Linked DNA regions of Schizosaccharomyces pombe. The gene in region 3 interacts genetically with the main gene of each other region. Each region holds a gene or a part of one and is shown on either strand. Other genes may lie near its edges.

Region 1 (3,817 bases), on a different chromosome or scaffold from region 3:
CAATGCAAATCAAGAGAAAAAAATTGGACTTGAGCAAATGGGCATAATTGTTCAACTGGTGACTGAAGGTTTAAATGAAGTTTCTTCTGATATTCGAAACTATCAAGCATCTCTTACTAAGGAGCTTAAACTATTGGTGGATTCTTTACAGGAAAAAGAGCGCTCTAAGCTACAAGCGGTAAATTTTTTTTCATAAATCTTTCTATGCAAGTTACTTACAATGTATAATATTTGCAGACCGTCAAACTTGAGCAGTTAAAAGTTGTTTCTACTAATTCACCAGTTGAGAATACGCAAATTTCAGAATTGGAAGCTAGGTAAATTGAAAATTGAATTATCCAGATATAACTAACAAATAATTATTAGACTTTCTTCACTTTCTAAAGAAATCAACGATATCTTACAAAATATGAAGGATGAAATATGAAGAAAATTGGTTTAATTACTATGGCATATCCAAGTTTTCTCTTTAGCAAGAGTAACATTATGAAGTATGATTCTGAATTTTCTTAAATTTAGAGAAAGTAAAAATTCTACATTAGAAATTTAGGGGACAGTCAGTTCAAAGGTCTCCTTTCTAATCATACTTGTAATTGAGATTGTAACATTCAGTGCAAAAGAAAAAAATGTTATTCGCGTTTTGAGCAAACCGGCAAGGTATGAATAGTATTCTTCAAGCCTTTAAATGTCAAAAACCCATCAATTTTAATTCCACCTGGTTGTTCGAAAACTAATTTCTTAGAGTTATCTTTAACACGTGCTTGAACTGTATTCCCTAGTTTAATTGAATTTGGAGGTGTTCTTTCTAAACCCGGAATTAACTACAATGACTGTCTCAAAATATATTTTCCCATATTAATAGCTTCCAATGTATTTACAGCTTTACCCTTTCGTCGAAGTCTTTGACAATAGAAATGCGAAGGAATAAATCGCTTGAGTAAGTAACTTATCATAGTTCAATTCACCTTATTGTTACATTGCAGTAAAATTGTTTTTGTTTTCTAAGTACACCTTACTTATCATCTAAAAATGGTGAGCAAGCATACGATGCATGCATTCAACTCTAGAAACTTAAACTACATATAAAACTAAAAGGTAACGTAATGGGTGAGAAGGCTGGAAAGCGTTCGAGTCTACCCTCACTTAGACTTAATTTTGTCGGACCACTCAAGCCATGAGCCAGTGTAGTTTCCAATACTAAAAGGTTAGTTTTTGAACACTGTTCTCGAAATTAAGTGGAATTGTTCACCTATACAAACATACTTTTTATAGCCGAGTTTGGTGAGAATGTCAGAAGCGGTCGTACTTCTTCTACCAGAGCGACAGTAAACTACAACGTTGTCCTCAAAAACGGGTTTGCTGAATCCATAAGTCTTGGAAAACTCCTCGTCACTAAGTTTCATGGCTTCCTCGATTTTTCCAACAGGTAAATTATAAGAAGTTTCGATTGCACCTTGCTTAAATTCATCGGGCTCACGAACGTCTGACATGTTAGCAGAATAAGTTTTAACTCACTATTGTATTGTCCTTACCAATTAAAACGGTGGATTTGTCGCCAGTTGGTCTTTTACTAAGGTTATAAACCTATTTCAAGTTAGTACCGTTAATAATTCCAAAATACTTGGAGAGTAGAGTAGCGAAGTGTAAAACTTAGCTTTAACCAGAAAACATCGCATATGAAAGCAAACGTATTCCTATGTTGGTTTACCTTTTCGAAATCAAAGATGCTGACATTCTTAACTACTGTAGAACTGTAGAAAGAGCGGGTCATCAGGAGGCGAGATACGGAAAGAGTTTTAGAAAACATTATGGGTGAAAACAAGGTTTATTACAGCTAGATGGCCCCTTTCAGCAGGCAGGTTAAATCTCAGATTCCCACAGTTGACGGTAGTGGTATAAGCGTGATCGGTGAGTAGTATGATTATATGAACGATCGCTATTACGAAATCGGCAGGTTTGAAGTGTTATAGGGGCTTGTGTTCAGAGGAATCAATAAATGAAATGGATCTTTGTATTTTCGAGATTTTTCAATAATATTTTTCTTTTTTAAAACGGTAGTTTTTAAAGTTACTATTCAAGAAAAGAGCGATTCATCCATCGGGAAAAATGAAGTTGCCGCATTTTCTATGTTTCACTTTTAAACAATTACATATTCAGTATATAAGTTCATAGAATAGAACTGTACGTACGTCTTTGGCACAGTTCTTTAAAATTGCGGATCTTTAATTGTGTATATTACTATATGGAGGTAGCATATGGATTTACCAAAAAGCATTTTATGGATAATTTGTTATTCATAAAATTATGTTTGTTGGAAATACACTGACAGAAACAAGCACTCTAATTTTCAATTGAGCTACAGTTGTTTGTTTTATCATTAGGAGAAAACAGGAATTCATACGACGCTGATTTATATAGATGTATACGTAAGTTTATTTATTTATTTTTTCTCGTCGGGCCTGAAATGCACTGTACTGTAATGTCATGGCATGCTTCAATGCTAATGTAATAGGAAAAAAATCACAGTACACAAATTTTTATGAGTGCTGATATTCTCGCAATGGAGAAACGCTAGGTTTAACGTAAGCATGATGTTTAAATTTGCCAGTACAATTAGAAAACAGGTTGTAAGTCCACCTTTGATATTAGGTCACAGTTCAAATCACTTTTGATTGTATTGCACATGATATTACGTTTACTAAGATTTCGCATCAATTTTAATATTGCAAGTTCTAAGGTAGCAGCATATTATTGAAAATTGAAATTTCAAATGGAAAAGTGATTCACATGCGTCCATTAAAATATAAAAAATAAAAAAAGAAATTTATATCTAGAATAAATTATTGTTTCTTTTAGCGGCAGAAAAACTAGTAGTAAAAATTTTATGCCAATAAATAAATATATAAAATAATGAACCTAAATAATCATATTGGCAATGTTTTCCAATTCAATCATCCGAAATGAATGATTGCAATGGATGAAGGAAAATAAAAACTTGTAAAAATGAAGGTCAGTAAGATTCAGTGTTTAAGATACCTCTCTGGTTTACAATCTTTTATGGACAAATATATGAACGGTTAATTCGATACAGTTCATCTGTTTCACTCGAATACTCAATATAATTTATTTACAATTCACCCATTAAATTAATATTTACCTTATTCATTCGCTTTCATTAATTTCATTCATTCACTTAGTCCCTTATTGTACCAACCTTGTCGCTCGGTACCGAATACAACAGTCGGCGGTTGATCATAGCTAACTAGTGCTAATAGCTAATTTCCTTAAGCAGACTTTTAATCCAACTGTGAATACCAATTACGTACTGTTTTGATTTAGTTAATATTTTCTTCCTCTTTTTTTTTTGCGCTTTTTTTCCATCGAAATCAAATATTATGAAGAATGACTTACTTCATAATTGCGATACCCGAAAACATCACTGATAAAGAGGGGATATCATATTAAAGAGTGAATACCGGTTAGGTCTTAGTTGATTCTTTGGATGTTGGATTGAGGTTTAGCTTGAAATGATGGTTGTCTTTCGTTTCAATTCACCTTTACAACATTTAATTTTTTTTTTAATGATCCATGATCACAATGCCATAATTTACGAAATCCTGGATTACGAGACTCCTGATCGAGCCGCAACTGCTGAATACAAGCGAACCTTGAATCGCAGGCGGATGAAGTATAAAGTTAACTCATATCAATTAAAGAGATTGCAAAGCGGCGGAACACCGTTCCCACGCTTCTAGTACTATGCGGAATGAATAAAAATATTAGGCGGAATGAATAGATTGTCGAGAATGGATTTCTC
Region 2 (5,207 bases), on a different chromosome or scaffold from region 3:
CCAATTGCTTACGAGAGTATTATACATTACCTGAATAGCCTTGTTGAAAAGTCCAGAAGTGAATCTTGGATACATGCCCATCTTAAGACGCTCAAGACCTTCAAAGTTAGGGTCAAGAAATCTTATCACAGATTCCATAGTTTCTGGCCTAATCGACTTTTCTATGAGTGAGGATGCTTCGAAAGCCAACGTGTCTAACCCAAGAAGATCACTAACCGCTAAAACAGAACAAACATTCACCTCAGCAGGGATTCTTGGGGAATCGCAATACAATGTAGAAAGCACAAACAAACAGGATTCCTTAGTAACATAGGGATCCTCTGTCTCTACTTCTATGGTATAATGTACATCACCTTTGGGATTATTTTCAATAAGCTTTTGTAGAAGAACAGGTGATCTGCCAAGAAAAAGGGCATGCAAATGATATGTTTCACCTTTTATAATGAGAGTAGTGTCAGAGAAAGTTCCCTGTAAAAATCCTGCATTAAATACGAAACTTGAAATCTAGCTAGGGTTAGACAAACTCTTTGAAGGAGAGGTAAAATATTCAGACTTTTTTTGTTTGGAAATCGTTAAACAAAACATGAACGATTTAACAATAAATCCAAAATAATTAACTACGCAAACAACCATTAATTTGAGAGTAAAGTTCATACAAGAACTGAGACTCAAGGTACGCAGAAGTTCAAATAGCAAAAATACTTACTGAAGATACCGGTTTCATTATAGAGGGCTCTTGAGAAATTTCCGTTGAGCTGTTCATTGACATGATTGTATTAAAGCCACATCCGTTAGGAGTAATAAAAAGAAATCAGAATGAAACTCGTCAGTAATATTTAAAAAAAAGGTACTAAAATATTGTTTTGGTTTCCTAAGGAAAGCGCACTGGAGTAGCTCGATATTCTTGCAGTTATGAATCGTAACGTAATTGCGCTATCCAAAATATACCGTACAAGTTGCACAAATTAACCCTTCTATTTACTTAATTTTTTGCTAAATGAATTAGTAATGCAGCAATCTCATTTACTTCATAATGTCTTCAATTACTTACTGCTGATAGTTGATAGAGCACGAAAACAATGCCAGTTTGTTAATGTTAATTTATTACATATCGGTTGTATGCTGATGTTGCTGCATGCTGAATTTTAACACAGAGCGCATCCCTCTAAACTTCTCGACTATCATCAAGTCAGTCGTGAAGCTTTCAACTGAATAAACCTATGCAACATAATTTCAGCTTAAAAGCTATTAATTAGCTGATCTTAAGTAATACAAAGTAATATATCAAATCGTAACATCCAATTCTTCCCGTATGGTTTGTCTTATTTTTAATAATAATATCCTTATGATAAAACATCTACATGTGATATAAATTATGCAGAATAATAAGTGTAAATGGAACAGAAGCCATCAAATTACAGCAGCTCACTCAACTTTTATATCATTCTGTTAAGGTCCAAAGGTGACGAATGAGAAGAGTGATTAGTATCGTTAATTTCGGAAGTTTGGTTTTGAAGATAAGAAGGATCATGATGAACGACTGTCGAAGACTCTACCAAAGTAGGCGAATTCTGAATTTCTTTGGTTGTAGCCAATGTTTTAGTGGAAAAGGATGAAGAAGTTAGTGAATGGGCATGCCTGTGTAAAATTGAACTGCTTGGTCTCTCATGAATTGTTGCACGCGAGCGAGATGGAGCCAAAATGCGCAAGTTTGAAGGAGGGCGTTGATTTATTGACGAAGGAGGGCGACGGTTGATTGATGAAGAAGGACGAACGATATTAGCCGCTTTAGTACGAACATTGCCTGTAGTTGTCCTCGAAGAGAGAGTGGATTGAATGCGAGAAGGTGAACGAACACCTAAAGAAGTACCTGGACGAACGATTTTAGCTGATGAATTTTTCACATTAACTTCTCTCTGTTCTAATCTTGAGGGAGTACGCGCCTGCGCGTTACGTGAAACAGGTCGTACAGCTAATGAAGAAGCTACCCGAACAGTTGAGTTAGAAGTGGCAGAGACGTTGGGTCTTTGAGTATTGGACGCAGAGTTTTCTCTGAAGATTCTGGATCCCGGTCGGACAGTCTGAGCTGCACTTACAGGACGCACGATCTTGGTCGATGCGTTGACTTTTACTTTGGAAGGACTAGTAGAATTCTTTGAGATACTTCCGGAAGCATTTGTTACGTTAACTCTAGATAATGGACGGGTGGTGGAAGTCCTTGTGGGTGGACGAACGACAGAAGAATTTCCGAGAGAACGAACAGAAATTCGAGGAGAAGCTGAAGGCTTGTCGTTAGAGCCAGGAGATTTGACGACGGGGCTATCATCCGACTTTGCATTGAAGCCGACCTTTGGTGAGCGCACATTCGGGCCATTACCAAGGCGTGATGGTGAACGAACTGCCATTGAAGATTTCGCTCTCGGAATAGCAGCAATTCTAGCATTTGAGGACATTCGGGCGATAGACGACGTTGAAGGTTTTGTAATAGTAGCGACATGTTTAGAGGTCGTTACAGAAGGAGATTCCTTGGAAGAAATTGAATTCTCATGTAGTGATGCCTCTTTGGGAATGCGAGGTGCGTTATTTGATAACCTGGCCAAACTAGTCGAGGGTCGAAGACGTTGAGAGGGATTACGAATATTCCGAGCTTTGGCTCGTACATTATTAGTCTTTGAAGTAGGATTAGATATTTGGGTATTTCCTAATGACTGGCCTTGGGTAACCCGAGATTGAGAGGTAGGAACTGATGGTGAAGAAATGTTTACTTGCTGTAAAGAGGCACTTAATTTATCAATAGCCGAGGATTCCTCAGTATCCATTACAGAGTTCTCACCTCCATTATGAAGTTGTGAGGTGGTAGAATCCGTGAAAATCGACGTAGAATGCAGTTCCTTGAGAATATTCGATGTTTGCATTTGTAGTTGCTCCAGTCTTTGAAGCATATTAGACTCGGCCTCTGCCAAAGGCTCTTGGCTTGGTGAACCCGGCATTGGCAGAATAAAATTGAATAAGACTCGCAATCAACAACCCTGAATGCACAAAAGAGAAAGCCAAATACACTACACCGTTAGCTGGTATCGCCCAACACTAGGTAGCAATAACAAACTACGTCCTATATTGTTAGTGTATATATAACGAATTCTATTAATCCCCGTAAAACTCTTGCTACCTGATGCAAACAAATAAAATTACCTTCATAAGTGCTGCACTGTTTACATATTTTCTATCCAGCTGACCGATTCTTTTCAATATATGTATTCATTTGACCATAATAATTATCGTTAAATTGTGATTGCTATGAATATACTTTTCCGTTCCCTCCCAGATTTCTGTTCCCGTTGTTTTTCCAAAGCAAATCATTGATGGGAGAGAGCAATGTGAAAATTAAGATGCAAGTGTACAATGAGAATAACATGTACACATTGAGGAAACCCGCTATAACTCTTCTTCCACAGCATCATACCGATTCTACAAATCTCCCGTAGTGGTAAGTACTACGAAAAATGTTATAGTAGAAATATCATTTGAAGAGTTTGTTACCAACTTTTACGACTTTGGTATGTCGTTATTTGAATTAATAAAAGTGATAATGCTTTGTGTGCATTTTTGGGCAACTATCTAGTTTATTTGTTCATTCGGTTCATTCGTCTCCTATGTACCGAGGGAATGTCAAGGAGAGTGTTACTCCCAGTCACTGCTCAAGGTGTGCAAGTTACCTTCGGTTCCTTATTAAATTGACATCAAAGACGGTTTGCAAATGTTACCAGATATGGACGTATATATACATAGAATACCCCAATTAAGACTTTGAAATTCCGTCTTTCACTTTTTAGTCTATATCTATTGTTCAGACTAAACGCAGGCTTAACGCCTTGTCCTACTCCCTTCGCTTCATCTTGTGCTACTCTATTGATGAGTATTTATTAATTTTTCCGCTTTCTTTTGATTAATTCATTCAGCGGTTTGTTTTTGTTTTTCCATCCTTTGTTGTCTTTCATATCGTTTTATTTCGTTCCTTTTTTTTTAACTATCTCAATTGGGATAAGCTTTATTTTTCGTAATTGTAATAAGCTCTAAGAAAACGTTCCCTACTGTTTTACTTTTTTTTATTACTGTTCACTTTCTATTTCCTACTCACGGTTCTCTTGCTTTGCTTCCTTCGATAAAACTAAGCAAGTTTGATCCTTTATTTATTCAATTGTCGGCTTCTAAAACTTCGTCTGTTCGCATAATTTCATATCTCGTTAGGGTAACTTCTTTCGGACGGAACACTAAAGATTTCGTTTACTGATTATTTTCTGTTTACAGTCTGGACTTTATACCCATTTCTAAATAAATTAAACACCCGAAATATCACTACAACCCTATATCCCATTAATCCCTTGGCTATTTGGATTATCAAGCTTATTTATTATTCTCAGGTTTCTCTAATTTTGTGCATAATTCAAGTTTGAAAACATTTCGTGTAATTCAAAAAAAAAGTTTCCCTTTGTTACATATTTGTCGAATTATTTTCTCATTAAAACCTTTAATCCCATCACTTCACCTTTGATTGTGATTTGTTTCCATTTTACTTTTATTTTCTCTTTTTCTTAAAATTTATTACCATGCTTCCACATCAAAATTCCAGTTATACCCGTCAAGGCACTAATGATGCGCAGGCAAATGATATGCGCAGTCCATCGCAACTTCCTACTTCTGTCAACATTGAAGATCCCTCTAAGTTATGTATATCGAGTGAAAAATTAAATACCCCTATGCATAATCGTTCCCGTTCTGGTATTAAGAAACATACTTCTGTCAAGCGTTCTCGCTCCTTCAAACTATTTGATACACTTTTCTTTGGTATTCTAAGGCTCCGTAAGCAACGGATAAGGTCGGTTAAAAAGGTACGATCAATTTCATCTCCTGTCTTAATCAGTACTACTTCTGCCTTGGCTTTGGCTACTATTGAACAACAGCCAGTAATTGGGGAATGTTCGTGATTATTTTGTGCACATGTCAGCATAATTAAATAAATTCATATATAATGCTATCTTTTTGTCCAACTAAATTTTTGATTTTTGATTTTTTTTTTTTTTAATAATTCTGCCGTTCTAATTATTTTTTTTGTTAAGTTAAACTGAGATCTCAGTTGCTTACATATAATATGATCTATTTCGCATGAATAGACTCATCATTATATTTGATTAATTAAATCAATCCTA
Region 3 (3,637 bases):
CGACTCTTTATCAACCAAGGGTATGAACATTTTTATTGATAAAAATTTTTGTCTTTAGCTCTTTTTCCTCATGGTGAAGCTAGTCGACTAACAGATATAGATATTCAACGACTTTATAGCACTTCGGGATGCATCCAACTACATGATTCGTCTTTCAATTTCACATGCTATTGCTCAATCAGTCAAAATATCACTATTTGAAGAGCTGGTCAACGAAACAATAGATGCTACTAAAGATACACCCCAAATGATTGCCGAGACTGGCAGAGTGAATTTGAAAAGAGAGGAAATTATGATGGCCGTAGGCCAGTTGTTTATTTTAAGAATTAACATTAATTTACAAGGAAGCGTTTTGGATAGTCCTGAGCTGATGTGGACGGAGCCGCAGTTAGAACCTATATATACAGCAGCACGGTCTTACTTGGAAATTAACCAAAGAGTTGCTTTACTAAATCAAAGAGTGGAGGTAATTGGAGACCTACTTTCAATGTTGAAAGAACAGATAACACATACACATGATGAATCTCTAGAATGGATTGTGGTAATCCTTATGGGGCTGTTGGTGCTGATAGCCTTATTCAGTATAGTGGTACGTTTGGCCGATGGTTTCAAATTGAATGACTTCCGTTTAGTAATCAACAATTCCAACAAATTTATTTTACTGTTTGCTAACACATTATTCTACATAGGTGGATTGGAAGCTGTTTCAATAACAACCGAAGAATCTTTCCTCTTTTTACATTATGTTTACATAATTGAAGAAATGGGAAAGGGCAAAAAAATTAAACCATATTTATCGAGTTGATTACGCATATGTTTCGGCTTTTTCCTTTAGTTTTTTTTTAGTTTCGGTTAGTTCATGATTTATTGACATTACACGGTAGTCTTCTATAATAATCCTACTTAATAGAAGATAAAGCTCTTTTTTTCTCTTCTTTGAAGATTCCTAGTTGATTTCCCACATAAAAGAACGTTGAAATGGGTTACACAAAAAAGGACAACAACAGCCATAGTACGTAGATATTGTATTGATTTCGGCACAAAGTATGACTTTTCAAAAAATTACATAAGGTTTTTTTTCTTCGGTTGCAGAGTCCAATTTTTACCATCAATCATTACATACTTCATATACTTAGTCAAAAAAAAGCATGTTAACGATTATAGATCAATGGCCGGCAAAGTGATTTTAAAACGAATGAAGACTTAAAAATAAAAACATCAAGCGCCTGCCTAAAACAAGTATTATGTCTCACCAGCTTCCTTTTCTTTATTTAACCCTTTTTTCTCGAGCACTTTAGATAGCAATTGCGCTTCATGGCGATACCGCTGAATGTCTCTTTCAACGTTGTAAATTTTCACAGCATACATTTCGCATTCCTTTTCAATTTCCGAGACTTTTCTTCGAATCCTTGCGGTTTTACGCCGATACACGTCCTCTATACGTCGAGTTCATTAGCAAAAAGTCGTCAGACAAAAATCGGTACACACCTTCAGTTTCTTGAAGCAAATTTACCACCTACGCGGTCAATAAATAATTACAAATAGGTAATAAACCTCCTACCTGTGGATCCATTCCCGAAAGCTTCACGTTCTCAGTTTCTGGTGAAGAATGCAAAGCTAGTTTGCTTAAAATCTGTATTGTATTTAACGAAAAACTGCTTACTTCGTTATAGAAGATTGCCTACTACATTACGCAACCAAGGGTTTATAACGATACGAACCGAAACCGTTATCTAGTTTTCTTACCCATCAGCTGGGTATTGCTAGTGAAAAACAAATGTCTAATATAAAGCTAATCCTTTTTTGGCTGACTTCTCTTATCCATTCATATTACATTTTTGCTTCTTTTGGGTAGAAAAAGAATGGATCATGTCTCACATTTACAATACGAAAGTCAAATTTCAATAAACAAAGGTACATCATACATGTGAACAAATATTTCAAAAACGATTTATGATCATTTCATAACAAAGAATCATGAATTTACTTCGGATAAGTTCAAAAATGATATTGTCAGCCACTGATTCAGAGTAAATCTGTCATTCGTTTTATAAATGCACTGTCATAAACGAATACTTCCAGCAGAACCAGGCTCCGGTTGCACAGAAAATTTCAAGTAATAAAGCAGTGTCTCATTGGCAAAATAATTTTCAGAAGGGAAAAAGCGAAATAAAACAGAAAGAACCTTCTGAAAGAAAATTGAAACCAAATAATGTTCAACAACGAAATAAAAACAAACAGAAATGATAAAAAGATAATAAAAAATACAAGGGTTTCACCTTGCTTCTAGCATTGAATTGAAACAATACAGACATTTATGAGTGGGCTGAAATTAAATAAAGAGGGGCGAGGAGGAAAATTAGAAAAAAGAGAAGGGGTCAAAGAGGTTTTAGACGTATATTTTTTGGTAATATAAACCAGTCTAAGATAGAGGAGTTAATATTTCATGAACAAAAGCACATAGAAATTGTTTAAAAACAACGGCAATAATAAGAACCCGGATACACAATCCAAGTATTAAATTAAAGATCCCTTCAAGTACCCAAGAAATTAAGTTATTAATCAAATAAAATAATAAACAAAGACAAAGAAGCAGAGTTTCACTTAAATAATTGTCAAATAAAAATCGACATGTTTTTTTCGACCAAAAAAAAAGAAAACTTAAAAAGAACGAAAAATAATAATTATGGGGAGATATTAAAGCGGGCATTTGTTTTAAAAGCAAAAACTTTTTTAAAAATTGGATTCAAGCAAATTCTTCCAATATGGCTCTTGCCAAATATCATCATTCCAAATTGACTGTGGAACAAGAGAGTTAAGTTGAATGAGAATGTGAAAATCTTGAATAGCTTGAGCAAGTCGTTCATCCTCCCCATCTTCTTCGTTCGTAGATAGTATATAATCGTTAAAAGACTTGTCGCCTTTTAAATCATCGTTACACTTGATAAAATCGTCATAAACAACTTTCCATGCATCAAAATCTTTAAAAGCTTTAAAGAAAACCTTGTTGCTCAGCATGGAAGGGAGAGCAACGCTAATCCATTTAGCATAATCAATTCCATTCGACCAGCTATGCCTCCACAGATATACAAATATGTCCATAAGACCAGAGGCTTGTGCATATTGGCTGTCATCTTCGGTCAACCACAAACACAAGGTAGCCACAGCACTGATTACAGTTACATGTGATGCTAAATTGTCACGGTTTTTATTGTTATCCCATGCATCACGAAGAAAATCCATCGTATCGCTAAACAACTCAGTAAGCGATCGCTGAAGTTGGAAAAATTTATCAGGCTCAATTCTTTGGGCAAGAACGTCACAATTTTCACATAGATATCGAATGAGGAGTCCAAGAACTTCATAGCATTCACAAACCGTGTACGACACAGTTCCATGCTTTCCTTTCTGACCAACTGCCTTAACTAGCATTCCCAGACTTCCTCGAATCTCAGCAGAGCAGCGACCAATCACCAAAATCATAAACCCATCATTTGGCATAATAGAGGCGGGACCAGCAGCTTTAAGAAGGTTAGAAAGAATAACGGTAGCTGAAGAAAGATTTTTATCGGTGATAAAGCGTTCAACAACCGCATCCATCAAAGGCTGGAGATTAGCACGAATGGCCTCGGAATAC

Evidence for each region. A genetic interaction does not mean that the proteins touch.
Region 1: mutations in hap2 (region 3) and rdl2 together harm fitness more than expected from each alone (negative genetic interaction), as found in Schizosaccharomyces pombe (one large-scale study listed by BioGRID).
Region 2: mutations in hap2 (region 3) and mmb1 together harm fitness more than expected from each alone (negative genetic interaction), as found in Schizosaccharomyces pombe (one large-scale study listed by BioGRID).

The regions. Positions count from the first base shown.
Region 1 is NC_003424.3:3,837,574-3,841,390, forward strand, and holds rdl2 (thiosulfate sulfurtransferase Rdl2), read right to left. Parts: upstream 1,898-3,817; 5' UTR 1,808-1,897; coding exon 1,709-1,807; exon of another isoform or gene 1,585-1,708; coding exon 1,533-1,584; exon of another isoform or gene 1,484-1,532; coding exon 1,264-1,483; exon of another isoform or gene 1,198-1,263; coding exon 1,140-1,197; 3' UTR 1,087-1,139; downstream 1-1,086. Other genes in the region: SPOM_SPAC4H3.06 (uncharacterized protein), read left to right, coding at 1-178, 238-317, 367-427.
Region 2 is NC_003423.3:2,607,602-2,612,808, forward strand, and holds mmb1 (mitochondrial microtubule binder Mmb1), read right to left. Parts: upstream 3,040-5,207; 5' UTR 2,943-3,039; coding exon 1,437-2,942; 3' UTR 1,087-1,436; downstream 1-1,086. Other genes in the region: BTB/POZ family ubiquitin-type ligase substrate adaptor Btb2, read right to left, coding at 1-504, 707-769; SPOM_SPBC25B2.08 (uncharacterized protein), read left to right, coding at 4,608-4,985. UniProt on the Schizosaccharomyces pombe protein: Involved in the cell polarity process and in regulation of microtubule growth. Has a role in meiosis. Involved in microtubule dynamics.
Region 3 is NC_003421.2:659,609-663,245, forward strand, and holds hap2 (Ino80 complex subunit), read right to left. Parts: upstream 1,602-3,637; 5' UTR 1,574-1,601; coding exon 1,562-1,573; intron 1,517-1,561; coding exon 1,489-1,516; intron 1,437-1,488; coding exon 1,243-1,436; 3' UTR 1,132-1,242; downstream 1-1,131. Other genes in the region: sif2 (Sad1-interacting factor 2), read left to right, coding at 1-20, 101-589, 690-713; protein asi1, read right to left, coding at 2,734-3,637.